Linked DNA regions of Xenopus tropicalis. The protein of the gene in region 6 purifies or fractionates together with the protein of the main gene of each other region. This does not show direct contact. Links are inferred from orthologs where the notes say so. Each region holds a gene or a part of one and is shown on either strand. Other genes may lie near its edges.

What was found.
Region 1: the proteins of rela (region 6) and nufip2 purify together in Homo sapiens (affinity purification with mass spectrometry; 3 studies listed by BioGRID and IntAct, counting the BioPlex papers as one, with this or other methods). This does not show direct contact. The link is inferred for Xenopus tropicalis from reciprocal best matches to the Homo sapiens genes RELA and NUFIP2.
Region 2: the proteins of rela (region 6) and hdac3 purify together in Homo sapiens (affinity purification with western blotting; 3 studies listed by BioGRID and IntAct, with this or other methods). This does not show direct contact. The link is inferred for Xenopus tropicalis from reciprocal best matches to the Homo sapiens genes RELA and HDAC3.
Region 3: the proteins of rela (region 6) and daxx purify together in Homo sapiens (affinity purification with western blotting; 4 studies listed by BioGRID and IntAct, with this or other methods). This does not show direct contact. The link is inferred for Xenopus tropicalis from reciprocal best matches to the Homo sapiens genes RELA and DAXX.
Region 4: the proteins of rela (region 6) and prmt5 purify together in Homo sapiens (affinity purification with western blotting; 3 studies listed by BioGRID). This does not show direct contact. The link is inferred for Xenopus tropicalis from reciprocal best matches to the Homo sapiens genes RELA and PRMT5.
Region 5: the proteins of rela (region 6) and tnip2 purify together in Homo sapiens (affinity purification with mass spectrometry; 4 studies listed by BioGRID and IntAct, with this or other methods). This does not show direct contact. The link is inferred for Xenopus tropicalis from reciprocal best matches to the Homo sapiens genes RELA and TNIP2.
Region 7: the proteins of rela (region 6) and rnf182 purify together in Homo sapiens (affinity purification with western blotting; 3 studies listed by BioGRID). This does not show direct contact. The link is inferred for Xenopus tropicalis from reciprocal best matches to the Homo sapiens genes RELA and RNF182.

Annotation. Positions count from the first base shown.
Region 1 is NC_030678.2:33,024,263-33,028,297, reverse strand, and holds part of nufip2 (nuclear fragile X mental retardation-interacting protein 2), read right to left. Parts: intron 3,862-4,035; coding exon 2,179-3,861; intron 1-2,178. UniProt on the Homo sapiens protein: Binds RNA.
Region 2 is NC_030679.2:27,758,420-27,762,454, forward strand, and holds part of hdac3 (histone deacetylase 3), read right to left. Parts: intron 3,782-4,035; coding exon 3,725-3,781; intron 3,643-3,724; coding exon 3,587-3,642; intron 2,746-3,586; coding exon 2,612-2,745; intron 1,406-2,611; coding exon 1,325-1,405; intron 1-1,324. UniProt on the Homo sapiens protein: Histone deacetylase that catalyzes the deacetylation of lysine residues on the N-terminal part of the core histones (H2A, H2B, H3 and H4), and some other non-histone substrates.
Region 3 is NC_030684.2:72,194,769-72,198,803, reverse strand, and holds part of daxx (death domain-associated protein 6), read left to right. Parts: intron 1-1,062; coding exon 1,063-1,247; intron 1,248-4,035. UniProt on the Homo sapiens protein: Transcription corepressor known to repress transcriptional potential of several sumoylated transcription factors. Down-regulates basal and activated transcription.
Region 4 is NC_030677.2:140,172,568-140,177,322, forward strand, and holds the start of prmt5 (protein arginine N-methyltransferase 5), read right to left. Parts: upstream 3,114-4,755; 5' UTR 3,041-3,113; coding exon 2,946-3,040; intron 1,470-2,945; coding exon 1,351-1,469; intron 813-1,350; coding exon 727-812; intron 526-726; coding exon 391-525; intron 309-390; coding exon 193-308; intron 1-192. UniProt on the Homo sapiens protein: Arginine methyltransferase that can both catalyze the formation of omega-N monomethylarginine (MMA) and symmetrical dimethylarginine (sDMA), with a preference for the formation of MMA.
Region 5 is NC_030677.2:21,864,168-21,868,932, forward strand, and holds the start of tnip2 (TNFAIP3-interacting protein 2), read right to left. Parts: upstream 2,999-4,765; 5' UTR 2,620-2,998; coding exon 2,251-2,619; intron 1-2,250. UniProt on the Homo sapiens protein: Inhibits NF-kappa-B activation by blocking the interaction of RIPK1 with its downstream effector NEMO/IKBKG.
Region 6 is NC_030680.2:38,474,606-38,478,640, reverse strand, and holds part of rela (transcription factor p65), read right to left. Parts: intron 2,020-4,035; coding exon 1,871-2,019; intron 1-1,870. UniProt on the Homo sapiens protein: NF-kappa-B is a pleiotropic transcription factor present in almost all cell types and is the endpoint of a series of signal transduction events that are initiated by a vast array of stimuli related to many biological processes such as inflammation, immunity, differentiation, cell growth, tumorigenesis and apoptosis.
Region 7 is NC_030682.2:91,940,554-91,945,276, forward strand, and holds the start of rnf182 (E3 ubiquitin-protein ligase RNF182), read right to left. Parts: upstream 2,878-4,723; 5' UTR 2,630-2,877; coding exon 1,889-2,629; 3' UTR 1-1,888. UniProt on the Homo sapiens protein: E3 ubiquitin-protein ligase that mediates the ubiquitination of ATP6V0C and targets it to degradation via the ubiquitin-proteasome pathway.

The DNA.
Region 1 (4,035 bases), on a different chromosome or scaffold from region 6:
GGTTCCCAAGACAGCCAAAGGCCAACCACACTCCCCATATTCCTTTCTGCTGGTTCACTTTTTTCGTTCTGCTGTCACTTAACTAAGCTCAGGGACCAACTATAACAAATATCAATATCACTATGCAAAGCTGATAAGTAATGAATTCAAATGACAAGGCATAATTGAAACCTGTGCACCCAGCTTCAAATTTGTAGCATCAGTAAGATGTCATTTTACTTTGTACCAATTTGATCATGTTCTGACAGTCCCTAAGCTTAGCTCACACTGAGCATGTGCAGTGCCACAGATACAAAAATTTCAAATACAGGGAGCTGCCATGGACAACTCTGATACAGGGCTACTGAACCTCTGGCCTGCTACAGTAAGTGCAATATTTCTAGCCATATACATTTTAGGATTTATTTCTTTTTTAAGTGACCGTTAAGGATTGCTGAACTACTAAACACAGTTGATGAGCTATGAATGCGTGCCAGGCTGAGGCACTGTGCTACTGTTGTTTCCATAACCCATTCACTGCACTGTATCAGGTTTGTGTTGTCATAACCAACATGAATACACAGCCATTAAAAGGTTTATAAAGAAACACCGATTGGGTATATATTTATAGGCAATGGCCCAGCTGTAATAAGCAACAGGTCACCTTTCAAGCCCAAATGCAATAAAAAATGAAGAATGAAGATTCTGCACACAAACACATACTTTAAAGGGGACCTGTCACCCTAAGAAATAATTCTAAATTCTTATCTATTAGGTTAGTCAATCAAAAACTTCAGTTACACTATATAAATGATTTAAGTGCTGTTTCCTTCAGTCTTGGAATTACACAATCACAGCAAACAGGCAGGCCCCATTTTGTAGACCCACATATAGATGGTGAGGATGAAGGGGGAATGAGGGGAGGGCAGTGACATCTGTGAAGGGCTGAATGGAAAGTGAAAGGAATCGACAGCTGGGATTCAAAAATACCTTTATAATGGGTATGGATGTGTTAATAAAAAAAGGAATTTGGGTTTCATATTTAATCTGAAAAGGACTTTTATTATACGGATTTCTATGTCAGGGTGACAGGTCCCCTTGAAGAAATGGTGCATAAAGGTTAGCAGAGTATGTGAAAACCCAGTAGTGCTACAAAAACCAGACCATGTTTAGAGTCATATTTAGGTAGAATCCCCAGTGTTTAATCAGAACTCAGGTTGCCTTAATTCGGCAGCTAATCAGCCGTGTAGGGGCACTAACGAAGGGCCTGCCCAGGCAGGTTTAAAAATTTAGTCGGATCGGGGACCGCATCGGCTCGTTGATGCGGTCCTCAAACCGACTTTTCCTATAACCGTCGTTATAATGCGATCGTTTGGCCCCAGGCCCAAATGACCGAATTGGCCTGGATTCTCCTGATATCGCCCACGCGTAGGTGGGGGATATCAGGAAAAGATCCGCTCGCTTGGCAACATCGCCAAGTGAGCGGATCTAAAGGTGTATGGCCACCTTTAGTCTGACACAAGCCTTTAGCAATATATACCTCTATAATGCTACCAAACTGTGATTATTTAAGGGTCACAAATGATTAACATATGCGGACAATTTGCAATTTTATTAAGCATATTATATTTCCAAAAGTATATATTTGCCAAACAATAAAAACAAACACAAGAGGTATTGTAACCCTCAATAAGGGCTCAGTAGGGCCTGTACTAAGCATGCCTTTTTAATACACTAGTTTCAAACTGGTTCTGCTGTGTCACTGTTTGTAGGAATATTTAGTAAAATGTATTATGAGTTGAAGCTGAGGGAAGGAGGGGTGGGTGACGCTATGAGAAGGAGTACAAACAAAATTTGATATTAGAGCTCTGTAATAGCAAAACATTAGGAAAATAAGGACATTGAATGTGCTTGTGTTGAGCAAAGGTGCAAGAATCAGGAAGCTGGTAACACAGGGAAGCTGAAAGTAGCCTATGCTACTCATTGGACTCAATGCCCCTTAACGTTTTAAAATCAAATGTGTCTATTTTATTAGATAAGTGTGCCTTTATACATCAGAAATGTAATATGCTCATAACAATCCAAATAATCTGTATGATCAGCCTGCTGTCCCAGCTCATTTTAATACATGGTTAATGGTCATTGCACTGAAGCAGTGCTTTTACATGGCAAGCAACATTAGGGAATCAAACGTGTTACCTTTAGTGTGATAGATAATAGCAGCCCTCAGGTCGAAAGAACCACAGCTATCTTTCCATTCAAGGCCTGCATGGTACCTCTTATCTTTGGCGGAGGTCTGTAAAGTGTTTTTCAGGGGTGCCTGGGGCGAAATATCTAACTCATAGACCTTGGACTGAAACACTAAACAACCCTGGCTAGCAGCATCAGTCTTCTGTGGCTCCCCTAAGTGCTGCAGGTCTGAACATAATCCAGACCCCTCTGCCCCAGAATCAACAGTTGTTTTCATGGTAGAACCTTCTGGAACCTGAGGGCTAGTCCGTTTCTCTAGCTCATAGGCCTTGGGGAAAACTGGGCGCTCATTTCCTGAGGCAGCAACTTCAGCACCCTGTGAAGCTGCTGGGATGGGGTGCTCCCAGACCATCTGCCCAAGTGAAGGCTTGTCCACCCCAGCATCTGGACCAGCACTGGGCTCATTTATAAAAGACAAACCCCACTGGTTCTGAAAAATTTCACCCAGGCTGTGTTGATTTGACTGACCGGACAGTTCCCCCTGCATTGTATCCGGCAGTGCTTGTTGCATATTTAAAGGGTAAGTTAAAAGGCTAGGCTTTTTTTGTTCATTGGGTGTTGGGGCAGAGAGTATATCTGTGGGCAAAGTTTCTGCTCCAGCAGGCAGTGTGTGTGATAAAGTACTAGCAGCAGTGGCCAAGAAACTTCCATCAGGTCCTACTAAAAGGGGCCCATTGGAGAAATTAGCTGTAGATACCGACTTCATGGCAGACATGGGAACCTGGGAAACACAGTTCAAAGTTGGAACTTCCCCAGCTGCCGGAGAAAAGGCATGGGAAGATAGTGAAGCAGAGTTGTTCAAGGCTGCTTTGTTGAGGTTTTCCTTAACTTTGCTTGCATAACTTATTTTAGGAACGATTTTAGCACTGCTGTTGTCCACTGGAAAAACGGGGGGAGGCTTAAACAATGACCAGGAGTCCTCCTTTGAGGAGGCAGTTGTAGAAGCTTTGCCTTTGGGCCGGTCATCAAATTTCTTTCCTGGTACCGTTTTGGTATCAGAGTTTTTCCTTTGCAGATCTGCAGAGTTTGGTTTACCCCGACCAGCTCCAGAGGCTGCAGCCTCACATTTCCAAGAGGACTTTCCATTGTCCAGTCTAGCTCCTCCTTTCTGGTCAACTAATAAATCAGGCTTGGAGTTCTCAGACTCAAATTTGACATCAGAGTCTATCATCTTGTCTATTACAAAGCTAGACCCATCAACAACTTTGGCATTACTACACCTGGCTTTCCTTTTTTTAGGAGTAGCGTAGCCACTCTCTGAGCCACTGCCATCATTTTCAGCACCTTTACTCACATAACCATTAGTTATATATCCAGAGTTGTTTGCCAGCAAACCGTTCTGAATGGGTCCTGCCTCAACCTTGTCTGTGTGTTTATTATCCTTAGGCTTGCTTTCGTAAGACTTCTCATTCTTTTTGTCCATACTGTTTTTATGAAGCAAGGTTTTAACTTTGCTTCCACTTTTCCCAAAGCTCAGGGCCTTGGATGAATGCTTGGTACTGGCGTTGCTGTCGACGGCCTGTTGGTTCCCGTTAGTAACCCGAGAAGCAGTCTGACTTGCAGCCTTTTCAGAGTCAAGGGTCTTTGGAGAGGGGTATCTTTCTGTTGCAGTACCATTTAGGTCTCCATGGCCTAGGGAAGGAAAAGAACAGTGTAAGCACAACAGAAGAAGCGCCAATGCCACCAGACCCCACTTCACTCACATTAAGGTAGTCAAATAGTCATTTCTTTACAATTCATTGTACTAATAAAAACAGGACTTTAAAAGAAAAGGTGAATGAAAAAGCAACATTTTTAAATAGTTAA
Region 2 (4,035 bases), on a different chromosome or scaffold from region 6:
GTAGCCTAAGCCTGCTTTAAATTTCTCAATAACTTTATCCCTGACCTGTCTGGTGTGTTCTTTGGACTTCATGGTGTTGTTGCTCCCAATATTCTCTTAGACAACCTCTGAGGCCGTCACAGAGCAGCTGTATTTGTACTGACATTAGATTACACACAGGTGCACTCTATTTAGTCATTAGCACTCATCAGGCAATGTCTATGGGCAACTGACTGCACTCAGACCAAAGGGGGCTGAATAATTACGCAAACCCCACTTTGCAGTTATTTATTTGTAAAAAATGTTTGGAATCATGTATGATTTTCATTCCACTTCTCACATGTACACCACTTTGTATTGGTCTTTCACGTGGAATTCCAATAAAATTGATTCATGTTTGTGGCTGTAATGTGAAAAAATGTGGAAAAGTTCAAGGGGGCCGAATACTTTTGCAAGCCACTGTATTTCGTAGATAACACACATTTTTTAGTAACCCTGTAGCCTTTAGCTGTAAAAATCCCCATACAGAACCATTGCAATTCTAAATATTCTAGTTGTCATTAAACCAGTGGAATGACCTAATCACTGAACCCCTCTTGTGACAATGCTTTCAAGGGTCACTAAGCCTTAATTTTCTCCCTGTATTTTTCAAGCAAAAAAAATGTACAGCTGAATGTATAATGTGTTTCCTCCTGCTCCATTTCACCTAAGGTTTCATGAAGGGATACTGGCTTAATTTGCTATTTAAGCCTCTCATAGCACACACTGGCCACAACTTACTGTATCCCAAATCAAACGCCACCCTTTAATGCTATAATCTCCTAATAATAAATCAGCAAAAGACAAAGAATTAAGTTATGGAAGAATTCTCGTAAAGAAGAATTAGTGTAAACTTTCTTAGCGTGATTCTTTGAGCTCTCTTGCTTTCTTTACAGTAACTTTTTAAAATGAATAGCAATAAACAATTGTGATATTAGATATTAGGAGTTTTATACTACTTGGCAGGCTTTCAGCTCAATAGCTTTTTGAAGACCCTGTGTCACTGCTCATTCTCAGTTGAGCCAAACACCTGGTATTAGCAGTCTGCAGAAACTGCAAATATTTCTATATTTTTAGACACCACATATAAAATTAATGTGAATTAATGATTTTAGCCTGCCTTTAAAAGAAAATACTTTTATAATAAGACATTACCATACTATAGGTATGCCCTTGTACCAAGCAGAACCTACTAGAAAAATGTATAGTGAACTTCAGTGTACACTCTGCTTGTGAACCAGGTATAGAACAAAAGATGATTGTGCCACCCAACTTACAGACCTTACTGATGGAAGCTGGAACTTACTTTGATCATCTATGCCATCTCTTAAGGGAACATTCAAACAGTAATATCTTCCACTTTCTGCTCCCACTTCGTACATATCCCCTATAGGATAAAACAGAAGCTGAATAATAAATATAATCAAAGTTTGTGGGGTTAAATTATCGAGTACCTTTCTTAGGCTCATGGCAATAGCTGACCATTTGTTTCTGGTAATGCCTTACAAGGCACCAGTTTGGTTATCAGGTAAATGTGTATGCTTCATGGAGGTGTGTTTTAAGACTCTGTGGGACAAAAGAGTGTCTGACATTGTGGGTTAATGAATTCCACAGGTATGGAGCTGCTCTAGTAAAGGTGAGCATGTGATGAGGTTACTAGAGCATCATTACCGTATATAGTCGAGAATAAGCCGAGGCGGAGCTTTCAGCACATTTTTCATGCTGAAAATCTCGGCTTATACTCGAGTATATACGGTAAGTTTAAGATCATTAGAGGATTGAAGTGGTTGATTTGGGGTGTACCTGGAGATAGGGCTGGAAATGTAAGGTGGAACATTGTTACTGAGGGCTTTGTAGGCGAATGTAAGGAGTAATAATTACATGGTCCTTCCCTACTGTTTTTTTCTTGTGAGGAGCTTCAGCTCCATGGACTTCCTTTCAGAACCAAGTCATTTGCTATCCTAATTAATAACTAACTCACACAATATTTAACCTATTGGACCATGGCTTGACAGTGTTTCATCACTTTAAAGTAAATACACATTATTATAGCTCTCTTTTGCATGCAGAACAGCAATTTACATGTTAGTAATGTCTGAATACAAAAAGGGTGCAAGATTGGCTACAGGAGGAAAAAAAAAAAGGTATACACAAGTGTTTATCCATGTAATCCAAATATATAATTACGTTTATCCATTTTGCACACTCGGCCGTTTCAAAGGCTGTTTATTACTGGTGAGCGACTGCCTACACTAGCAGATAAAGACTATTTTAGTATTACGGTCACATACTGGTGTATCTATTGTGAAGGTAGAAAAATGGCTTAGAAATTTGGACACAAGGGCAAACAGCCAATTATTCTTATTATTCTGACTATAGACCTTTCTTGCCTATTGTCTGGAATATAAAAGACTGGCTGTATATCAAAATGAAACATTTTATAATGCTATTTGGCCACTAGTTGCTAATTTATTATTAGCAAAATGATTTACAATAAGAGTAAGCATTTCAAGACATTTCTCCACCTGTGCTCCAACATTATGGTGTGTGTCCAACTGCCCTCATTTCTACTGTTCCTTTTAACAGTACTCACCTGTACCAGGGAAAAAATAATTCCCATACTTGTGAAATGATACTGTCATAACTCTGTCAGTGAGGTAGAATGCTTCCTGTACTCCATCTCCATGATGAATATCAATATCTACATAAAGAACACGAGGATGATACCTAGGGGTAAACCCACAAAACATTATGTTAACATGAAGTTCATAAAACAGGTAACATCCCTTTTGGGAAGTTATGTGCATCAGACTAAAACACAAGGAGAAAGAAATTAATTAATACTGCACAGTATGTGCATGCATTAACCCCTTTTGGGAAAGCAAGCTTCCTTTTGGGAGCACCCCTTGCAATTTTTCATTGTTTTTTTTTATTGTTTTGGATAAGTACCAGAGATTACAGGCCACACAAATGCACAAATAGTTACTACAGCTAAAAAATTTTGAAAAGTGAATCAAATGTATTTTTCCAAAACTACATGTTACTCTAATATTAGAAGCTGTTATTAGGTTCATAACTGCAGCATCCCAGAGAATGGGCAAGCATTCGCAGACTAGGCATTGTAAAACCAATGTAGAATGTATTATAGGATTATAAAATAAGACAAATTATCATAGGACTGCATCTACATCAGGGGTTCCCAAACGTTTTTACCTGTGAACAACTTTTAAATGTAAAAAAAGTTGGGGAGCAATGCAAGCATGAAAAAAGGTCCTAAAGATTGACCAGTAAGGGCTGTGATTGGTTATTTGGTAACTCAGTGTAGACTGGCAGCCTACAGGGGCCTCTGTTTGGCAGTACACATGGTTTCTATGCCTCCAATTCAGAAATTAAAAAATAAGCCCCTGCTTTGAGGTCCTTGGTAACAACATCCAATAGGTTGGTGAGCAACATGTTGCTTGCGAGCCACAGGTGGCGGATCACTGATCTACATGATGACAGCATACCTATTTATGGAAGTTTCTTCTTTTAGGAGAAAGCCATTTTAATTCAGATTTATGGTACTTACTTAAGTAGCTCAAGAATGCCAATAACGATGTCATTCACATAACAAAACCCAGATGCCTGTGATAAACAAAGAAATATAGCCGTCAATGAGGAAAATATGGCAAATATCAGGTTATGTTTTTAAATATCAAACAGGTACCTCAAATTTTTTAGCATGGTGCAGTCCGCCAGCCCAGTTAATTGCAATGTCACAGATCTGTGGATATTAAAAAGAAACAAAATCAAGAGCTTATTTAAGAAGAAATGCTATTATTCCTGTCACATTCTCTAAATTTGACGTGTCTTATTCAGATTAATATAAAACTAAGGGCTTTAAGGACACACGGAAAGCAGAGAGCACAGAAGAGACAGACATCCTCTATACATATTGATTCATATGTATTAAAACCCTGGTACTTTAAAATGCTGAATAAAGAGCCCCAATTTTACCTTTTTTTTAGGGGATGTCAG
Region 3 (4,035 bases), on a different chromosome or scaffold from region 6:
TAAAAAAATGTGTTTGCTGTTTTTGGAAAACAGACTCCTTACAGAATTCTGCTGGAGAAGCTCTACTAACTGGCGTGTTTTGTAAAATTACATGTTTTTTTGTGATTCAAGGATTTTTTGGATTTGGCTTGGAACTGATTGAGTCTGTTGATATTGTCCCTGGCATGTTCAAACAGTCTGTCTAAAGGTCCCCATACACGGGCCGACTATAGCTGCCGATATCGGTCCCTTGGACCGATTCGGCAGCTAATCGGCCCGTGTATGGGGAGAGCAGAGCGGCCTGGCCGACCGATATCTGGCCTGAAATTGGCCAGATCTCGATCGGCCAGGTTAGAAAATCCGGTCGGATCGGGGACCGCATCGGCTCGTTGATGTGGTCCCCCATCCGACTGCCCCATTGCCGCCCACATAATCCGCATTTTACCTAAATGCTCCCCGATATCGCCCACCCGTAGGTGGGGATATCGGGGGAAGATCCGCTCGCTTGGCGACATCGCCAAGCGAGCGGATCTGCTAGTGTATGGCCACCTTTAGGCTTGAGAGGTAAATAAACTCTCCTCCAAGTACCAAAACCCCATAAGTGAAATCTGTAAAGCAGTTTAGATTAGACTGACTGCAGTCTGATTGATTGATCTCCTTGATCAATATCTGGGAAAAAATCAGGCAGGTTTAATTTTCCCATTGGATCGGGACAGCATGAGGTCATTGATTCAGTTCTTATTAACAAACAATCAAATGGCCACCTTTGCACCACACTAGTCCATATCAAACAGTTCCAGGATAGTGCATGTCAGTCACCAGGGAGACACATTGAAGATACATTGTTGCTGTTTACCACCAAAAAACTAATAACTAGGAAAAAAGTGTTGCCAACTAGAACTGGGAATAACATTATCATGTGGCATTGTATTGTAAGTAGATTTTTACTTTCATTGGTTGCATTATGTTGGCACAAAAAATTTAATGTAAATAAATCAACAATTTCCTTTTTGAAGGCCGTTACTAAATAGATGTATGATAATCCCATTGGAGCCTTCTCTTTTTTTTTTTTTTTTTATCTAGGGTTTGATCCTGCTCTCCAAGATCCAGCTTTGACTCGGCGTCTTCGTGAGAACCGCGGTGTAGCATTATCTCACCTTGATGACATTATTAAGAAGTACGCAGAAATGCAGGATGAGGGAGAGGATGAAGAAAGCAGAAAAATAAAAGAGGAGAGTGAAAGTCCAAGCAGCTCCAAGAGAGAACAAGTATGTCAGTCTTTTAATGTGTAACGTCATTGACAAGGCCACTGTTTGTGCCAATAATATTTTCTCCACTCCCTAATCAACGTGTGTCAAAAAATAAATTTGGATCTAAGTGTAGATTTTTACATGTAGATTTTGAGCAGAGCATTGTCTACAGGCAAAGGATAACAACCAATTTTGCTTATCAAGTAGCATTCTTAATACATACTGCTATATTAAGCAACATTTTTTATCACATTAATGTAACAAATTTTCCACTAAACTTCAATAGAACTAATACAATGCTGTAGTGGTGGTAGACCTTAATGGGATAGCATAACTAAAAGTAGATCTCTCGCCAGGTAGAGCAGCAGATATCAATCTATGCCGACTATTAACAAACTTACAAACCCCCCATAGGGAAACAGGGTTGAGGGTTATCGCTTCTTTAGACTCGGAGAAAGCATTTGACTTTGTTGAATGGCCCTACCTATGGGAGGTCCTCAAAAGATTTGGCCTGGGGCAGCATTTCATCAAATGGGTCCAGTTGTTATACCAAAACCCCACAGCCAAAATCAGGGTCAACGGCATTACCTGAGAACCCTTCGCCCTCTCTCGAGGGACTTGCCAAGGCTGCCCTCTCTCTCCCCCATGCTATTTGCCCTTGCCATTGAACCTCTGACGATACTCATACGTAACTCCCCCAGCATACAAGGTCTCAAATATGCCAACATATCCAAAAAGGTATCACTATGTGCAGACAACATTTTAGTGTACCTAGCCAACCTCAGACTGTAGGAGCAGTAGAAACCCACAAATAAACCCTGCACACTATAAAAAGAACATATACTGTGGTGGTACTGCAATTAAAAGTTTTTTAATATAAAGTTATTGTGCAGACTGTAGGTGCAGTGCCAGCATTGCGTCACTGTAGGCTGCCTGTGTGTGCCATACTCTGCCTGTCCTATGTTGCCTGTATGTGCCATACACACAGGCAGCATAGGACAGGCAGAGTATGGCACACACAGGCAGGGTAGGGCAGGCAGAGTCTGGCGCGCACACACAGGCAGGGTAGGGCAGGCAGAGTCTGGCGCGCACACACAGGCAGAGTCTGGCGCGCACACAGAGTCTGGCGCGCACACAGGCAGGGTAGGCAGCAGAGTCTGGCGCGCACACAGAGGTAGGCAGGCAGAGTCTGGCGCGCACACAGGCAGGGTAGGGCAGGCAGAGTCTGGCGCGCACACAGGCAGGGTAGGGCAGGCAGAGTCTGGCGCGCACACAGGCAGGGTAGGGCAGGCAGAGTCTGGCGCGCACACAGGCAGGGTAGGGCAGGCAGGGGTAGGCAGCAGAGGTCTGGCGCGCACAACAGCAGGGTAGGCAGGCAGAGTCTGGCGCGCACACAGGCAGGTAGGGCAGGCAGAGTCTGGCGCGCACACAGGCAGGGTAGGGCAGGCAGAGTCTGGCAGGTTTTTGCTGTACTACCACCATTAATATGGCTATGGTCATGCGATAACGTGGGTGTGGTTTTAAAAAGGGGAGAGTGGTCAAAACTAGCTTCCTTTATCGGCCCTCCACCACGGAGGCCGGAAAAATTCCTGCCCTCGGTACCACAGAAGGTGGACAGCACTGCCCTAGACCATACGCCAGCAGTCCCATCTGGTATGAAACTACAATGGGTCCAATTCTTTAAATATCCGGGTTCACTCAGACTCCACACAGTTTATCAAACTTAACCTCGACCCACTGATGGACCAACTGGCCCTGACGTTGAAAACCTGGGTAAAACTACCACTCACACTCTGGGGGCGTATCAATCTGCTGAAAATGGTCTTTCACCCCAAGTTTTTGTACATATTCCACGCCACACCATACCCCCTTCCACGCTCATTTTTCCACAAACTCAACACCCTAATAATACCAAACGTATGGGCAAACAAAATGCCGCGCATCTCATGGCAACAGCTAGCAGCACCGGTACAACAAGGAGGTCTAGCCCTCCCACACTTTTTTTCTCTACTACCTGGCTTCCCAAATATCATACTTACACTGGCAATTCTGCCCCAACCCATACAACCCCAACACGGCCTTACACGCCTCCCTCCTTAACTCCATGAAAGGCTTAAGCAACTTCCCCTACAGACTCATCACTGATGGGAGCGCCCTACCTGACTCTCTCAAAACCCCCCACAAAGCCTGGGCAGTGGCACTCAAACTCATGGGCTACCCACCACCCCACCTATCCCCCCACATGCCCTTATGGGGAAACTCTCTACTCCCCCACCTCAAGAACCTACCCGACTTTTTAGTCTGTCCGAGACTGGGGATCAAGAAACTAGAAGACCTAGCCCAAGGTGTACAGTTCCCTACGCACCAAGAGCTGTGAGAAAAAGAACCCCAAGTGCACCTATTCAGATACCTACAGCTAAGACACGCCTTTCTGGCCAAGTTCCAAACCCTCACCCCAAACCTGGTCTCATTGGACCTAGAAACAGCACTTAACCAACACATATCAAAAAAGCTCCTTTCTATGCACACCTCCTGGAATCCAATGCCATGTGGACCACCTCAATCCCTAGCTTAGAGCTGGGCGGTATGACCAAAAATTTATATCACGGTATTTTTCAAAATTATATCGGTGTCACGGTATTTGACTGTATTTTTTTTTTTAGGTATGCAGCTGTTCACAAAGAGATGTTCTCCATCCCTTCGGGAACATTGACTGGGTATTCATAATAAGGGAAATATTCTTTCCTTCTGGTCATTTACTTAGATGCAGGTTTATGAGACCTTTCGTCAAAGAATTCTGCTTTGC
Region 4 (4,755 bases), on a different chromosome or scaffold from region 6:
TTATTGTTTGTAGTTTATCAATCTTATTTTTTATTGCTTATCATAGTTCAAAACTGCATCTTGGTTGCTAATGTAATTAATGCCCAGCAACCACATAGAGCTGAAAAGGCCAACTGCACATGATACTATCCTAAAAGTTAATGTGAATAAACCCTTTAAATGGCATAAAAACTTTTTATTCGACACACTCACCATATCCAAGTCCTTTCCTCATCGATATTATCCTCCTCACTTTGACTGAGAGGTTCATTTTCAATGATATCATCACGTAGATCATTAGGGGCCATTAAAGGAACTCGCATCCAAAACTAAAATAAATCAACACAAAAAGTTAAATTAAGCAGCAGAAATATAATACAAAGACACGTGCAAATGCAAATGGTATCCTACCATTGTAGAGTGGTGTCCTGTGTGAATGTGGTTGATAAGGAGACGGGATAAGTTACTGTTGTCTTCTTGTTTAAGAGGAATTAAGAATGCTGGGAGCCCCAAATATGCAGAAAAATTTAACTCCTGCTGCAAAGCCTGTAAAAGTAAAAAGAGGGGGTTGGACAGTAGTCAATAAGAGAAAAAGGAAACATGGAAGCTGCATTCAATGCAAATATTACTTGAACACAATGTTCATAACAAGTATGATATGTAATTATCCTATAACATAACTATATTGCAGGAAACTGTGCTTTTTCCAGTTTTTAGTGTGTGTAATAGCTTTCTGCTTTCCCTTACCGCTTCCGAGGTTTTGCGGATTCCAGACACTTTAGAATCTGTCTTTATCCAGTCGGACAATTTCCCAACAATCAATGTATTCCAGTCTAAGGAGGAAGAGCAATTAATTATATATATGTTTATAAATAGTTTGTTCTCCAAGAAATGACTGCACAAATATAAAGGTATAGTGTTAGCTAACAACATGCAGCTATAGACTGCTAGCAGGAATATTGTCAGTGTGTGTTTACATTTATACATTAATCTGATGTTTGGCAAGAGGTCCAGCAGAACTGCAATAATAAAGACTGTGTCCCCAAGCTGCAGAAACATACCTGTAGTCACAAGTGGACTGAGATAGAAAATAGGCCCAAGCATTTCAAGTACACAAAGTCACAAATAGCCCCTCACAGGCCCAATTAAATCTGGGTATACCTCTAGCACTACCAGACTTAGGTGGATTAAGATTAGACTGAATGAAGCAAGCCCAAAACACACAAACGGGTAAGTGGCACAAGAGCAATGACATAAGAGACAGGCATGGGGGATTTGGTGGAGCATATATCTCAGTTCAAGTAGATCTCCCATGAGTATTATATGCTCATTGCCTTTTATTTAAATCTAATACAAAAGAAAGCAGATCACCTCGGCCAGAAAGCAGCAAGTCTGAGCGGGTCTGTGGTCCTGGGCGCGATTTTGCAGGTTCCTTGAAAAATTCCCTTTTAAAGCGAGGATGAAAGATCGGCATACACAGAAAGTCAAACCTAAAATATTTAAAAAGACATTGTACATGACATTTATATATACCAATTAAAGATAGCATGCACCCTCTGTGCTTTACTGTCAAGTAATTATATTCTATGGGTTTGTTCAAACTATCTGCTGGCAAAACAAAACTGCAACAATGTTCCTTCCAAAAACTGCATCAAAAGCACCAAAATCATAGCTTAAAGGGCCAGCAACACTAGGAAATTAAAATGATCTAAATTTAATTTGTCTGTGAATTTGAAAATTTGCCACCACTTTAAAAAATGTATTTATTTATTTTAAATACCCACAGTTGGCCTTTTGGAGACAATTAAGGAATATATTTTATATAAGGCTTTACTGAACAACATAGACAGATGTAAACAATACAAATAAAATGGTAATTATGACTTTACAAAGCAGTAGTGACATAACTGTGTACTGCAACTACTTGTAAAGTGGCCTTATACTGACCAATAAAAATTGAGAAAGTTGATGATTAGGCTAGCTGCACATTTACTGAAGCATATGAAGTCTCAAATTTTTGGCAGATAATCTAACCAATATTTTTGTGCTCTGGACACTAGATGAACCCTTGATCAGGTATGAAATTATCAACAGGCCTTACACCCAGTCGACCAGCACAAGGCAGAAAATGATGAAGACCTGTAATATCGGAGAATTAAGGCCAACAAAAAACTACTGAAAGATGACTGTACTGTGTGGCCACTTATACTGTCTGCCCACAGAGCTCACAGTCTGATCATTTGATACCAATTGGCAGTGGGGTAACTTGACTTTCCTGCACAGAGTGGACAGCACAGATGCAGGGAGGAGAGAGGGTGCTGAGGGGAATACCAGGGTAACTACCAATCCAGGCCCTCCAGTGGTAGTAGTTATGGCACTGCTGATGGGTATTCCCTGCTGTACAGCTCTGGACCACAGTTATTAAGCACAAGGCTTGTAAAAGGGCTGCATGAAGCCTCATCTAGGAAGTGTGACATTACGGCCTCTCTGTACACATACAATGCACCTTATATAAGACGAGATGCAAAATTGAAAAGGAAAGGTGGGCAAAGCCGAGCAGGAGCCCTGCACTTACTTTGCACAGGGTACAGGGCCCGCTTTGTAATGGTGGCACTTCTCTGCTAACCCGCAATGTATGAATATTTCAGGGCAGATATACACAAAGCTTATTATCCTGGATGCGAAGTACAGTGTGCAGGGTCAGTTTAGTAGGTTTAACGAGGGGACCTAATCGTTTGAATGAAAGCCCAAGCCTGGGTACCCTATATGGGGCTCAATACCCCTGCGTACATAGTAGCATCCCACCCCAATGAGCCTGGTTTGTGGGTAGGGGAACTCCTGGCTTTGTGAATGAAAGGCACATGTAGGGCACATGTTCGGATGCACAGGCTTCACAGATCCGTGCACATGTCACTGCGCTAACACAACCTATAGACATCTCCGGGGCGCTATGGCAGAGAGCTCACCCTTGCTTAGCCACCGCCCCCAGTGTGTCCGCAACCTCTGTCACGCAGCCGAGATCTCTGCCGCTGGACACACGGCCTCCGCCGCCTGCCGCCATCTTGCCAACTTCCACTCCACGCGCGGTACCCCGTTCTTGTGACAACAGTTCGGATCAGCCAATGAGGATCTGCCCCCGGCTGCTGGGGGCGGAACCCTGAGCTCTAGAAGAACAGAAACGACTCAATGAAAGGAACAGCTACGTTTTACAAGCAGAAGTGAAAACCAATCAAGAGCGAGTAAACGAAAGTGGGCGGGGCCAAATGCATTCGCCGGCTTGCTGAGTGCATGACTGGAGCAAATACGTCTGCGTACACAGTGGGAGGGACAAGAATGTAGTTTTCAAAAGAAAAAGTCTAAACTATTTTACATGTCAGCGGGCCAGTGGCGCAATGGATAACGCGTCTGACTACGGATCAGAAGATTCTAGGTTCGACTCCTGGCTGGCTCGAAGTGACTCTTTTTGCCTAATAATTATGAACCTATGATACTTTTTATAAATATTTTTTTACATTTGGATTATTTTCATTCATTTAAATGTACATTCATATTTTATATTTTTTATGAACCTGCAATATATATATTTTTATATATATATTTTTTAAGAACTTATTGTACAGCACTTCGGAATATGTTGGCGCTTTATAAATAAATGTTAATAATAATAATAATGAACCTGCACACTCCAGTCCAACCCTTTCAATTCTGACATCCAACAACATATATTTATTTTGAATAATAATTTTGACTTTCAGATGAACAAGTCAAGCTGTAGCAGGCCACAACAAGGCCCTGTACTTTGCCTTTGCCCTATGGCACTGTTACAGAGCTAGCCTGAGCCTGCCAACATTGTAAAATGCCCAGGCTTTTTCTCTTCTATGTGAGGGGGATCTAAAAATCCTTGCTCGTTGGCATAACAAAAAATGGCTGGGCCCCCCTGCAGATCTTCATGGGGACTGGCTTTCACCATCACCATGCGCACTTGGAAACCCTTCCCCTGCACCCCACACCATCTTTATGTTCTGCACTCATCCATTCACCCATCACAACCCTCAGAAGAAACTGGTAAAATTGCTGAGCAGGCACAGTAATACAGTACAAAGGGAAAAGGCTTTGACTGACAGTAGGACCTGTCAATCTTAAATTTGACTATTCTTCCATTTCCCCCCTTTTTTCTTATGGCCATTGTTTTTAACTTTTCTGCTAATGCCATTGCCATGATCTTTCCATATCTTAGCTTATTTTTCTAGCAGCTGCTGTCCTGTCCACTTTTGGGTTACAAACCAATGTTTTTGTATTATTTGAGGAAAGAGGCAGGAGAATGAGGTTTAACTTGCATATTCCGTGAACTATTTACTCAGTAACTGCATGTACTGTACATTCCCTATAGGGCACAGAAATCTGTTGCTCTGCACCCCTAGGAATAAAAGCATCTGCTAAGCAAGTGAAGTGACAGGAGAACAAGCAAGTAAGAATAAAAGGGAATAGCTATCCAAGCAATAAAATATATATATTTTTTGCCTGTAGATAAAAAATATAATTAGAAATAAATGGAAAAATGGGCGCACCACCCACACCAACATTTTTTTTTAATTGTGTAATGTGCAGGAGGAGTAATATGGAAATAAATTTCAATTGAGATCACAGATAATGTGACTACAAAAAGGCTCCCATGAAGTTCTGCACCATTAACATGAAAATCAAACAGGCTAAAAGATCACAGAATAACACTAAAACTTAACTTTTATGAACTGATACAGTGCTGAGGAAATACAT
Region 5 (4,765 bases), on a different chromosome or scaffold from region 6:
CTGCTATCCCACGGCCCCAGTCCTTTCCCAGAGGCTATTATCCCCCCACTGCTACTATAGGCACCATCTCTCCCTACTATACCTGCTATCCCACGGCCCCAGTCCTTTCCCAGAGGCTATTATCCCCCCACTGCCACTATAGGCACCATCTCTCCCTACTATACCTGCTATCCCACAGCCCCAGTCCCTTCCCAGAGGCTATTATCCCACTGCTACTATAGACACCATCTCTCCCTACTATACCTGCTATCCCACAGCCACAGTCCCTTCCCAGAGGCTATTATCCAACTGCTACTGAAGGTGCTGTGCTGCCTGTACAGTTCATATGTTGATATGTGTTTTGCTACTGAGCTTCCCACTCTCTTCTACTTACAACTGCTGTTTTGGTTGGAAAATGCTTGTATGACAAACTGGAATAACATTGTATAACTGCCAAAAAAATTCCTGTCAGCTGTGTCTATCACGAGTTACGATGAGTAGGTTTCCCTTATATCACTCATGTGCCCTCTAAATACTAAATACTTCAGCTGTGAGTCACATGAGCCCAAAATAAATCAAATGAATGGATATATAAATAGAAAATAGGGGTGCCCTGAATGGTACAGTAAATATATAAGAATGACAATATAGAACTAAAAATATGACTATTATTTGAGGAGACAGTAAGTACTGAGAGACTACACTACGGGATAGAGAGGCTGAGACTCCTGGGAAAGCACGTACGGGTTTAATTACAGTGATTTACATTAATGATCTATATAAGAGCTACTCAAACAGAAAGTAAAAATGAAAGATACAAATATTCCCAAACTGCTTCTAAGAAATCAACTGATCTTCTGGAAGCCACAATTCCCTGGGACAATATGTCTTAGGGTGAAGACACACAGAGCTAATTAGTAGCAGATACTTGTCATTGCAATTAAACACCAGAAAATCCCCTGCCATAGACAATACTGAGAATTGCCTCTGCTAAAACACATATAGAGACAATTATTGGTAAATGATCAGCATTGTCTAATTTTGTAGCCATGACAAGTAGCTGCTACTAGTAGCTCCGTGTGTCTTCACCCTCAGAGTTCAGAACTGAAAACTGCTACACGCATATAAGGCTGACATATTATAATGTACGTATGCTGCATAGTCACATAGTTCATCCTGCTGAGCACAGCCAGGGGATGGGATAGGAGATTATAGTATATTAACAACACGTAATACCTACACCATCTAGCCCTGTCACTTACATCTGAGGGGCACAATGCTGCTGGGAATACCCAGCCTATCACATTCCCTTTAAACCAAAGCCAGGCTTATTGTCTGGGTAAAATATCCTCAAAATTCTGCATGGCTGAAGCAAGGTTAAAAAAGACAGCAGGTAACAACACTGTAAACGAAGGGGTCCAACCAGCAGTTCTCCAATACGAACCCCAAGCACCCCTGAGCCCTGGTGGGCACTGTGGTTCTGCAGCTGGACAAGCCCATAGCGGGCACTGTGGTTCTGCAGCTGGACAAGCCCATGGTAAGCACTGTGGTTCTGCAGCTGGACATGTCCATAGCGGGAACTGTGGTTCTGCAGCTGGACAAGCCCATAGTGGGCACTGTGGTTCTGCAGCTGGACAAGCCCATAGTGGGCACTGTGGTTCTGCAGCTGGACAAGCCCATAGTGGGCACTGTGGTTCTGCAGCTGGACAAGCCCATAGTGGGCACTGTGGTTCTGCAGCTGGACAAACCCATAGCGGGCACTGTGGTTCTGCAGGCTGGACAAGCCCATAGTGGGCACTGTGGTTCTGCAGCTGGACAAGCCCATAGTGGGCACTGTGGTTCTGCAGCTGGACAAGCCCATAGTGGGCACTGTGGTTCTGCAGCTGGACAAGCCCATAGCGGGCACTGTGGTTCTGCAGCTGGACAAGCCCATGGTAAGCACTGTGGTTCTGCAGCTGGACATGTCCATAGCGGGAACTGTGGTTCTGCAGGCTGGACAAGCCCATAGCGGGCACTGTGGTTCTGCAGCTGGACATGTCCATAGCGGGCACTGTGGTTCTGCAGGCTGGACAAGCCCATAGCGGGCACTGTGGTTCTGCAGGCTGGACATGCCCATAGCGGGCACTGTGGTTCTGCAGGCTGGACATGCCCATAGCGGGCACTGTGGTTCTGCAGCTGGACATGCCCATAGCGGGCACTGTGGTTCTGCAGGCTGGACATGCCCATAGTGGGCACTACAGGTCCCAGTAGATGCACAGAGGGCATAGCTACCTGGCTCAAGGATTCCACCTTCTCCTCACATGTCCTCTCCGTCTCCTTCAGTCTGCTCTTCATTAAAGCCAACTGGTCCATCAAGCTCTCCACTAAGGACCTGGAGGAGGAGACGTGCGGCGGAGGCTCGGTGCCCAGGGCAGCCTGGCTGGCCATCAGCTTCTGGATGAGACTTTCCTTGGCAGTGAGTTTCTGTTTGAGGCTGCTCACCTCCTGTTTGGCTTCATGATAGAAAGAGTTGAGGACATGGTAGCTCTGCACCTTTTTCTTCAGTGTCCTGTTTTCCCTGTGCAGTTTATCCACGGTTTCTTCCAGCACCTTGAACCTGGCCACCAGCGCATCTGTGCTGCCATCACTGATAGAGGACATTGTACCAAGGGGCAATCAGCACTCTCAGGCGCAAGCAATCCGGGCTGGGGCGCTAATCAGAGCACAGCTGGCTGCGCAGTCAGTACATAGCAGTCCGTGTGAGTGAGGCAGGCAGGCTGCATGGCGCTATTATACACCGGAAGGCGGGGCTTGGAAATTCCCTCTCACCAGCGGAGTTTTCTAGTACTTTTACTACTAGTAGGGCTCCGGGTCTCACACAGAGAAATACCCTCCGCTCTCCCCAAGGGCAGCCCGGCTCTTCCCTGCATGCCGGGAGTGGCTCCCAAGCTGCCCGGGGAATCTGACTGCGACCCTGCTCGGAACATCCAGCCGCTTCCCTCTGCCAGTGGCCTCCATTGCTTCACTCAGCGGAGGGACTGCCTTGCGCCTGCGCACTCCGGCATCTGTATTAGTGTTGCTATTTACAGATAGAGAGCAGGGGATAGGGTAGAGAGAAGGGCACACTGATAAGTAAGGAATTTGGAAGTACATAGACAGAGCCATACATAGCTAAATATGGAAGGGGGTAGATAGGTATATAATGGGAATTATAGACTAGTAGATAGATATGCCAGTGGGTACATAGATGACAGACAGGCCAATAGATAGATATGCCAGTGGGTAGATAGTTGGCAGAGAGGCCAATAGATATGCCAGTGGATAGATAGTTGGCAGAGAGGCCAATAGATAGATATGCCAGTGGATAGATAGTTGGCAGATAGGCCAATAGATAGATATACCAGTGGATAGATAGTTGGCAGATAGGCCAATAGATAGATGACAGATAGGCCAATAGATAGATATACCAGTGGATAGATAGTTGGCAGATAGGCCAATAGATAGATATGCCCGTGGGTAGATAGATGACAGACAGGCCAATAGATAGATATGCCAGTGGATAGATAGTTGGCAGAGAGGCCAATAGATAGATATGCCAGTGGATAGATAGTTGGCAGAGAGGCCAATAGATAGATATGCCAGTGGATAGATAGTTGGCAGATAGGCCAATAGATAGATATACCAGTGGATATATAGTTGGCAGATAGGCCAATAGATAGATGACAGATAGGCCAATAGATAGATATACCAGTGGATAGATAGTTGGCAGATAGGCCAATAGATAGATATGCCCGTGGGTAGATAGATGACAGACAGGCCAATAGATAGATATGCCAGTGGGTAGATAGATGACAGACAGGCCAATAGATAGATATGCCAGTGGATAGATAGTTGGCAGATAGGCCAATAGATAGATATTCCAGTGGGTAGATAGTTGGCAGACAGGCCAATAGATAGATATGCCAGTGGATAGATAGTTGGCAGATAGGCCAATAGATAGATATGCCAGTGGATAGATAGATGACAGACAGGCCAATAGATAGGTATGCCAGTGAATAGATAGATGATGGATAGACAGGCCAATAGATAATCATCAGAGGGGCCAGGTGTGCACCTAGCTGGTCCTCCCTCCACCCAACGGCCTGTGTCCCCCGCTCCCCTGCCACTTGTGCTAAGTAGGTAAGAGAGTGGCTGGGGAGGGGGGCTTCTTAGACCTATAGATATATAGATAGAGGAAGCAGACCCTGCGGTCTAGGCCCCCTTCCCACGGAGCATTTAAATATGGCATAGATATTTAGACACGTGACAGTTAATTAGCTTTGGATTAAATGGGTCCCATTGTGCTTGCTGTGTGAATGTGAAATTAGACCATAAATTCTACTGGGGCAGGGGCTGATATAATGAACCAGCTCTAGGTGATTAGTTGGCACCATATAAAAATAAAACATAGAATAGTTATCCTTTATATAGTGCCATCATGCAGCACTTTACAGAGATTAGGCATCATTCACATCAATCCCTGCCCCGGTGGAGCTTGCAGTCTAAGATTAATATCACATTCACAATACATTCAGAAAATCAAATTCAGGACTGCAGCCCCCCAAGCATTAGGTAATAGATAGAGGGAATGCATAGATTGTACCAAGATTTAATCTGAGACATAGATTTGACCAAACCCTTGGATTCTTTCAACTAAAGACAATTAATTTTTTTTTATAGGTCTTTGTTGATTGCTGGGTGCATTTGTCAGACTGCCCACAAGATGTCAGCACTGAGCCTCAGTTCTTTTTTACCCTGATTTCCCTAC
Region 6 (4,035 bases):
TACACTTGTAAAGTCTGTGAACCCCTGTTTTAGACACACACCAAAAGCGGTACTAACCTGGCGTAGGAACAATAATAATAACATTTTAGAGAATGCTGATGTTTTAAGAGACATTACTACTAAAGAGCATTTTTTTTTTTTTAATCTTAAAGGACGTCAACCCCCAAAAAATGTTTTTGCCTAATAAATTAGAAACATAATTCTAAGCAACTTTCCAATATCAATTCGTTAAAAATTATTACTACTTTAAAAGTTGTGTAAACGTAATTGCTATTGAAAGCAGCATTTGCCGAAATCCTGGTTGTTACTTTTTAACAAAATTGCATGTGCCAGGCTCCTCCAGCAAGGCAGGTCTGTCACGATTACGCCACTTCAGATGCACGTGACTGTAGGCGTGGCTGTCTAGAGGGTCCCTTGCTCAGTCTCACACACCTGACACACAGGTCAGACTAGCATCACAGCACCCCAAAGACCAACCAACGCTCACAAACTCATACACAACTTGCTGCCACCACTTTCATACTTCTTACACTGGCGATGAGAGATGCCAAGCACACTGGTAGAGAAAGGGTTAATGTAAAGAACCGACACACACACTCTCCTTACCAGCAGTCAAAGGGTTAATCAGCACACAGCATACAGAGGGCTAAGGCACACAACACAGTTACACACTCGGAGGTTAGGTACGTTTTAGAGCATCAAGGACAAACTTATTAAATTTTATATTTAATATTATAAAAAGTATAACAGTGCAAGTTTAAAACAAGATGTTACAACAAAGGACATACGATAAAACAAGTACAAACAGTTTTAAAATAAAAAGGGAAAAATATAGAAGTCCTATACTATACCAAGCAAAGTCCTTCTAGTCCTGGAGGCAAGGGGAAACCACAGGATAAACTTCCAATAGAAATTGGTCCTCCACATAATATCTTCAGAAGAGCTGACTATTTATCCCAGTTTGCAGGGGGATCAGGTAACTGGACACTCCCCCCTCCCTCAGGAATGCAAGGGGTGTCACCATTAGCAGGACACAGTGTGAGTTTTATGGCCTCCTGTGTATGGACTGAGTGTATGGGACTTGTCCAATGATACCAATGTCCATAACTCCTTGTGGGAACATGATGAAATTAGATTCATCAATTCTTAATGATCCCACCGGTCCCATACAGACTAAACATCACCACTGTGTGACCTGCCCCTGCCCAGATACTCCTATCTGACAAACCAAGTGCCCAAATCCAGTGATGTTTGGACCCGTATGAAAGGCCATCTTAAATGAAACATATACTCAGGTTTTGGTACCTCTAGTATAAATAGTATGGGTTCTGGGACAATAAATGTTTGTGAGTTTGGGTTATGGTGTGACCTCCACATCACCTATGATGGGTCCCAATGTGAACTCTAAGTCACCCCCACGTGGGCTTTCACTCCCCCACATGGCATGGCTCTTATCAGCCAGGGATTAGAGTTGGGCATTTCAGGATGCGAGGCCTTTACACATGGCTGGTTCCAGACCCTAGTGACCAGAGGCCTGTTATATATCTCTTTCTGGCACATTTCTGGAAGATTTTGGGATACCTTGGCCTGCTTGATTAACCCTTACAGGCCTATATCATGACAAGGTCTGTCAGTCTGCTGCCTTGTGTTACATTGCTTCAAGTGCCAGAGCCACCAGGGCAGAGACTAGAGAGGACAGGTAGACACTGCTTTTAATAGCAATTATATATACAAATAACTAAAAAAAATAATGAATGAATGAAGTAATGAATGTATATTGCTTAGAATTAAGTTTTGTTTAATTAAGCAAAAAGTTATTTTTGGGGCTGACAATTCCTTTGAACAGAAGTGTAACCAAACCAATCATTACCTGTGAATACTACGATCTGGGGAAAGTTCAGCTTCATAATATCCATCCTTACAGTCCTTTCCTACCAACTCATGAGGGTGAGGTTTGTGTGGAGAATCCTTAGTAACTAGGGATATTCGAATACGCGCTGAGCCCTGGTAATGGTTTATCTAAAATGACCATAAAGAATGGAAGGAATCAATCAGACAATAAAAAAATAAATAAAATAAATGTGCAAATGACAAAAACCATGAATGAACAAATCAAATACTATGATGATGGTAAAGTGATGATTAGAATGATCAATAAGGCTAAAAAATTTTTCACTTCCCTTAATAAACAGCTGGGTAAAGAGCTATGAAAGTACAGCCATCAGTTAAGTCAAACAGAGCCCATAAGTTGACCGCTATCTTGTAGGCCATTACCAACTATGCCAGTGTGTCTTACAGCAGAAAATGAAAAAACATACATTATCTGACAACAATGGCTATTCAGACACTGAAACAATTTGTTCATTTAATGAACAACAAATCCTGCAATAAAACGGTGTTCTTTTTAGTCATTTCGCTTTTTGTTTAGCAGCTCTTCAGTTTGGAGTTTCAGCAGCTATCTGGTTGCTAGGGTCCAAATTATATAGCAACCAGGGAGTGGTTTGAAGGAGAGACTGGTACATGAATAGGAAAGGACCTGAATAGAAAAAAAAGTTATAAAAAGTAACAGTAAAATTGTAGCCTCACAGGGTCAGTGACCCCCATTTAAAAGCTGCAAATTGTTCAAAAACTATAATTGGCCATTCTATAACATACTAAAAGTTTACTTATAGGTGAACCACTCCTTTAAAAGGGACAGGGGTCTTTTTTTCACTCAGGGGCAGATTTATCAAAGTCCGAATTTCGGCTAATTAAAAGTATGATTGGCAAAAATTCGGAATAAATACAATAATTTTGGATGTGTGTTAATTGTGAGAAAATTCCTATTGTGTTTGTACGCAAATATCGTGGCGCAATCCGAAAGTTCTGAAATTTTCGTATCCGAACGATCATAAACGCCGCAAAAAACTTTGACTTTCAACCTTCAATGCATGATTTTGGAAGCCTCCCATAGGATATAATTACACTTTCTGCTTCCTTCTGTTTTAACTAGATGTGCAGAATAAGAAGCAGTCCAACAGCATTATGCATCGCCACCTCACTTCACTGTAGGTCTGCATCAGCGATATTAAGTGTTTTGCATAAACACTTTCCTTTAAAGTAGGGTGGCACAAAAGAAGCCATTATGCAAACGAGCTATGCCAGGTCATGCCAGCTGAGTATCTCTCAGACTAATTAACTGAAACACAAGTGTCATCTGACCTGAATAACAGAGAACATGTGCCAGAAAAAATGTGACACCAAAAATTACACCTAAATTGTGTGTAAAGCCGGTATGCATTGGAACTCAAAACACATAACACTGTTAGTGCTCAAAAGGGGGGGGGGCTGAATGCTGTTTGCATACAAATATTTTGTAAAGTCACGTTAAAACATCTAAATCACAGATAATACACTTATTGCAGGATTTGTATTCATCTGTACAAATTGTTTAAATGTCTGAATAGCAATGTGTCTTTTCAAGTGAGTATTTATGAGCTTTGCACACTGTTTGCAAGTGAAGTCTAAAGGGGGCCATACACAGGCCGATTTCAGCTGCCGATTCTGGTCCAAACCGGTTCGGCAGCTTATCTGCACCCCGATGCCTACCCGATGGATATCTGGCCTCAAATTGGGCAGATCTCGATCAGGCAGGCTTGATTTTCTGTCAGATCAGGGAGCACATCGGCTCGTTGATGCGGTCTCCGATCAGAAGGCGTCTATGTCTGCTATTGCAATTCGATTGTTGGCCCTAGGGATGGCATATCAGGAAAAGATCTGCTCGCTTGGCGACCTCGCCAAATAAGTAGTGTAAGGCTACTTTAACAATGCACAATAAATACAGTGGAACATATTACCTTTAAATGGCTTAAAGCGGTTATTGTTGCAAAAGTTCACTCTACAAAATAAGAAAGGGGTAGTTCACCTTTTAAATTAACTTTTAGTTTGCTGTAGACATTGATACGCTGAGACAATCTGCATTTGTTCTTAATTTTTTTCCCAGCAGGTCTCCAGTTTGGCATTTAAGCAGCTATCTGGTTGCTAGAATCCCCAGCA
Region 7 (4,723 bases), on a different chromosome or scaffold from region 6:
TGGCAACTCCTATTGTTTCTGGTGGCAAGACATTTTGGCATGGTTAGTCGCCTGCTGTAGCAGAGATCTATTGCGGGCAACTAACTCACTCCATTGGCCATCATCCTAAAGCTGCAGCCTTTCTGGTGCCCTGGGGCTTTTGAACCCCACTTGAAACAGTCACACTCTTTATCTCCTGCTTCAGTGTTGTTTTCCTGCTTTGCAGCAACTCCATACTCCTTAGTACAGAAATGTTATCAGTCACCAGCACCAGGGGCACCACTGTTTATACAGCACCCAGCAGGGCCCTCCCCCATGAGTGATGTAGAAGGCAAACCATTCCCTTTAAGAACCATGACATTAGCAGCAGTGGATGGTAAACCAAAAGCAAAAAGTAAAGCATTGCCTTTAAGGCCCATAACAGCAGCATTGGAAGGATTAGCAGTGGAAGGAAAAACATTGCCATTAAGCACCATCACAGCATTTGCAGCAGAGCCAATAGGAGAGATATTACTTTGCCCCATATTCAATACACAGGGTAAGTCATTGTCCCTGGACACCAGCACGTCAGCAGTGACATTGTCAGTCACATTCTCTGTGGGAAAAAAACACCCTTGTAGAATGCACATACACAGACATACCTGCTTTGACCACACTCTGGCGCTCCTCCTGCCACTGTCTGTGTTCCTCCAGCACTTCCTCTGCAGTATCAGCAGCCAGCAAGTCACAGTCCCAGGGAGAGGCAGAAGCCTGTCAGTAATTAGCAATACCGAATTACTATGTAACTACTAAGGAAGCACAATTTAAGTATAGAGACTGCAACCATTTAGGATGTATGAACCAGCTTTTGCAGGCAAGGCAGGGATATTATCAGTGCAATCTCTGACAAAATATACTGACTTAAAGCAGTGGGAGCCTCAAATATTTGTATCTGATAACGGTGGTCAGATTATAGTAATCAACTCATATCAGCAGCAGTTACCTACTTCCTTGTTGTTAGCCACAGTAACAAGGTGGCATTCTGAAAGTCTGCATAAACCATGGATGAAACTTTCCCTTGTGCCAGGTGGAGAATCACAATGTTTTTTCAGGATGCATTCCTCCCTTTGGGTTATGTGCTTTGTGTATAATGCTGTTCCTCTGTGAGCGTGCCAGTCATATGTGAATGCACATCATGCCCAGCAGTTGCTAGTTTCAATTTAAATGCTGTTATTGGTTGATGTTATATATAGTTGGGAGCGTTACATAGCATTCATAAATATTTGGGTTGATTTTCTCTTCCTATTTGTGCAGCATTTTTAACCTTAATAAAAAAAGATAAAAGTAGGCAGAAACCAGATAAAAACACATACAGCTATTGAGAGACTTAAAACAGTTTTTCATTATAGTGCTTTTCAGTACAATACCTGTAAACGATCACATTTTCTTTGCTAGCATTGCATTATCACATGATATCTTTTGAATTGGGCTGTAGGGCTGTAGCATAGAAGCATTCTAATGGTGACACTAATAGCTAATTACGTTGAACATCACAGCCAATGAGAAGCAAGCAATATAAGTATGTTGCTTGGCATTACACACTTCAGTAGTAATTAAAACAGCTTGTGTGCCACTGCCCAAAGCCTGAGTTACAGCCTATAAATACAATTACACCATGTAATAATTCTCATTATTTAATATTTCAGTAAATATCAGTAACAGATCCCCCACATGACTAAAACTGGGGTGGTAATGATTTTTTTACCAACATTATTAACTATAAGGCAACAGACAGGAGTCATAGTGAACACTGCAAAGAAACTTATTAACACAAATCTAATTCAGTTAAAAATACAGGTAAAATATCTTGACTATTAAAGATACAAAATTTTTCCTAGAATGGACATTTGATGGCGATACGGTTAAAGGACTAAGACGTCGACATACAGTCTAAAAATTCATGACACACACACTGACAAAAGCCATATACCATGAGAATAACAAGGCTAGATGGAACAAGGCTGACAAAGACAACCCCAAGGGTGACTTTTTTTGACACCAGCAAATAGATCCCTAAGGGTAGGGAGCTGAAGTAAAGTAACCCTAACAACCAAACAAACACACGCACTGAGGTTTGGCAGATCAGTGAAGTGCAGTTCCACACTGTCCAGTTCTGAGGTATTGAAACTGGGTCGTAACTTGAAGGCCTGTAAAACTCTACCACAGGAGTAGCATTCAAAGCAGGAGAGCTTTCCCTCTGGACCTCCATGATGGTAATGACAAGGCAGTTGGCAGAGGTGTGGGAGGGGGTGACAAGAGTTGACAGACGTTTTGGGGTCAGAAGCAGCTCTGTTGGGTTGTCTCCAACACATTTCCCCCTTCCACCACATGCCAAGTTCAGTAATATATTATTGTCATCTGGAAGGCTGCTGACTTCGTCCTCAGGCAAACGGGTCTCAAATCTGCAGAACGGGCACACAATAACACATTGTGGGGATTCTCCACAGTCCACCAGTTTGTAAAGGCATTTGGCACATACTCTGTGGCAACAGCCAAGTACCTTTGGTTTCCTCTGTCTCAGATTGTAACGGTTGTAGCAGATCTTACATTCAAGCTCATCAGGGTTCAGATTGGGAGACTCTGAATTATCTTCAGTTAGCTGACCTGTCATTATGTCTTTAGTTGAACAGTAGGAATGTTAGTGCAGAAAAACATAAAGCAGCACTCATGTACAGATCATCTAAGTCTCCAGCCTGGAAACGGGCTCATCCACCCTCACACTACGGCAGGGGAACTGTTGTTGATATGTTGCTGGGATATTCATTACTTCTCTGCATCTCCCACTGGGTTCTGAAACAGAGGATTTTACATGGTTAGATGCTTTGACAATGCAATAGCTGTGAATCCAAAAAAGGAAACTGCAACTGGATGGTGTTACTGGATGCTTCCAACTAGTAAAGCCCTAACATGATGACATTTGCATTTGCTCCATAGAAAGATTTGTCACATGCTTTAGCTAACACCTCTTCTTCTGTTTAACTACTTTAAAGAAATTCATGAAAAGAAAACCTATATTTCAGTTAAGTGGGCTAGAATTAGAACACATGTCTATCTTAATCACTGACATTTTTCTAAAGCTGCTGAGAAATATATCAATAAACAGTAAGTAACTGCATATTGAGCTAATATTAAAGGGAGAAAATTAGATTAATGTTTAAAACCTACATTTTAGAAAAAACAGAAAGAGCAAAAAAAGTGATTGTAAGACTTTTGAATTGCTGGTGAATGCAGTGAGATTCTGCAGGCACTTACAATAGTCTTGTAGAATAGTAAGGTGGACTTCCCATATAAAAAGCATGGCCATAGTCTTATTGGACCACTTTGAGAACAGGCAGTTATGGGACCAGGTTAAAGGAGAAGAAAAGGTACAATCACTGGGGGAGGCCCAACATTTTAGCACCCCGAGTGATTTCACCTTTCCTTTTGCTTTAAGGTCCCATGAAACTGTAAGGTGTAATCAAAGTCACATTTTTTATTGTACTGTAAGGCAAAAACATGTAATTGGTCTATTTATTAATGCACAAAAGAAAAACACACATGTAGACCAATGAACAACTTGAAACCCTTAGTGGGTAAAGCTCTATTCAAAAAATAATTTGGGCAGGTAGACTACAAGGCACCCCAATTTGTGTGTTAATACAGTCACTTGCTTAAAGAACCATATATAAATTGAGGTATGGGGACATTTTTTTATAGATTAGAAAAATAGAGCATCAGAACACCTTTGTGACAGAGTTTGTAGCAAATAAGTAGAATATTCCAAACTTTAGGACTTCCCTAACAAGCAGGCATTTTCAGTTGGTCCTACACAACACAACATTGCAACTTTGGAACTGCATTTTTTGGATTGAGGAAGGCTACCTTATCAAATATGATGCTTTTTAGAATATTTATTTCTCTTCTTATTATATGGATTTTTGTTTACAAGGGTTACTATTGCTCACCCCTGTTGCACTGAGCAACAGATATAGGCTTGACATTTGTACAGTGATTTTTGCTGATATGCTAATCATATAACCCTTCTGTTAATGAGACTAGGACACCGACACAAAAGGTGGCCACACACGTGGTGATTTGCGATGGTCGCACGAAAGATCGTTCAATCCGCCAATAACATTCAGGGCTGAAACGGCAGATAAGGAGGCAGAAACAATAGGATTTTTACCTCCTTCTACCAATTCAGCCCTGAAGGCAGATCTTTTAACTCCTCAATTGATGTGTAAAGCTGGCCATACACGCACCGATAATATTGTATTATCGGTGCGTGCATGGTTATTATATGATATATTATTATTATATATATTATCGGTGCATGTATGGCCAGCTTTACACATCAACTGAGGAGAATACAATGAGTTACCAACATGGTATCTTATTGTTACTGTTTATCTATATGTCTAACTGTGTTACTGTGTAATGGAGTACTTGATGACCTATGTAATGCACCACAGGGGAACTAGTGAGTTGTTTAATGTTGAGTCAGGCATGAAATATCTTTAAAGTATGCTGTTTGGTCACTGGGGATTATGTAATATGCTGGAGCAGTATCAGAGAAAGTTGCTCATTGCAGTATTGGGGAACTAGGGGCATAGGAGGTGTGACATATTTGTCAAGTTCAAACTTTTAGTGGCCCTGAGGCAAACAAAACACCAGACAATCCTTAGCCAACTGAACTACAAGGGTAAAAACTTAATTCTACCTGATG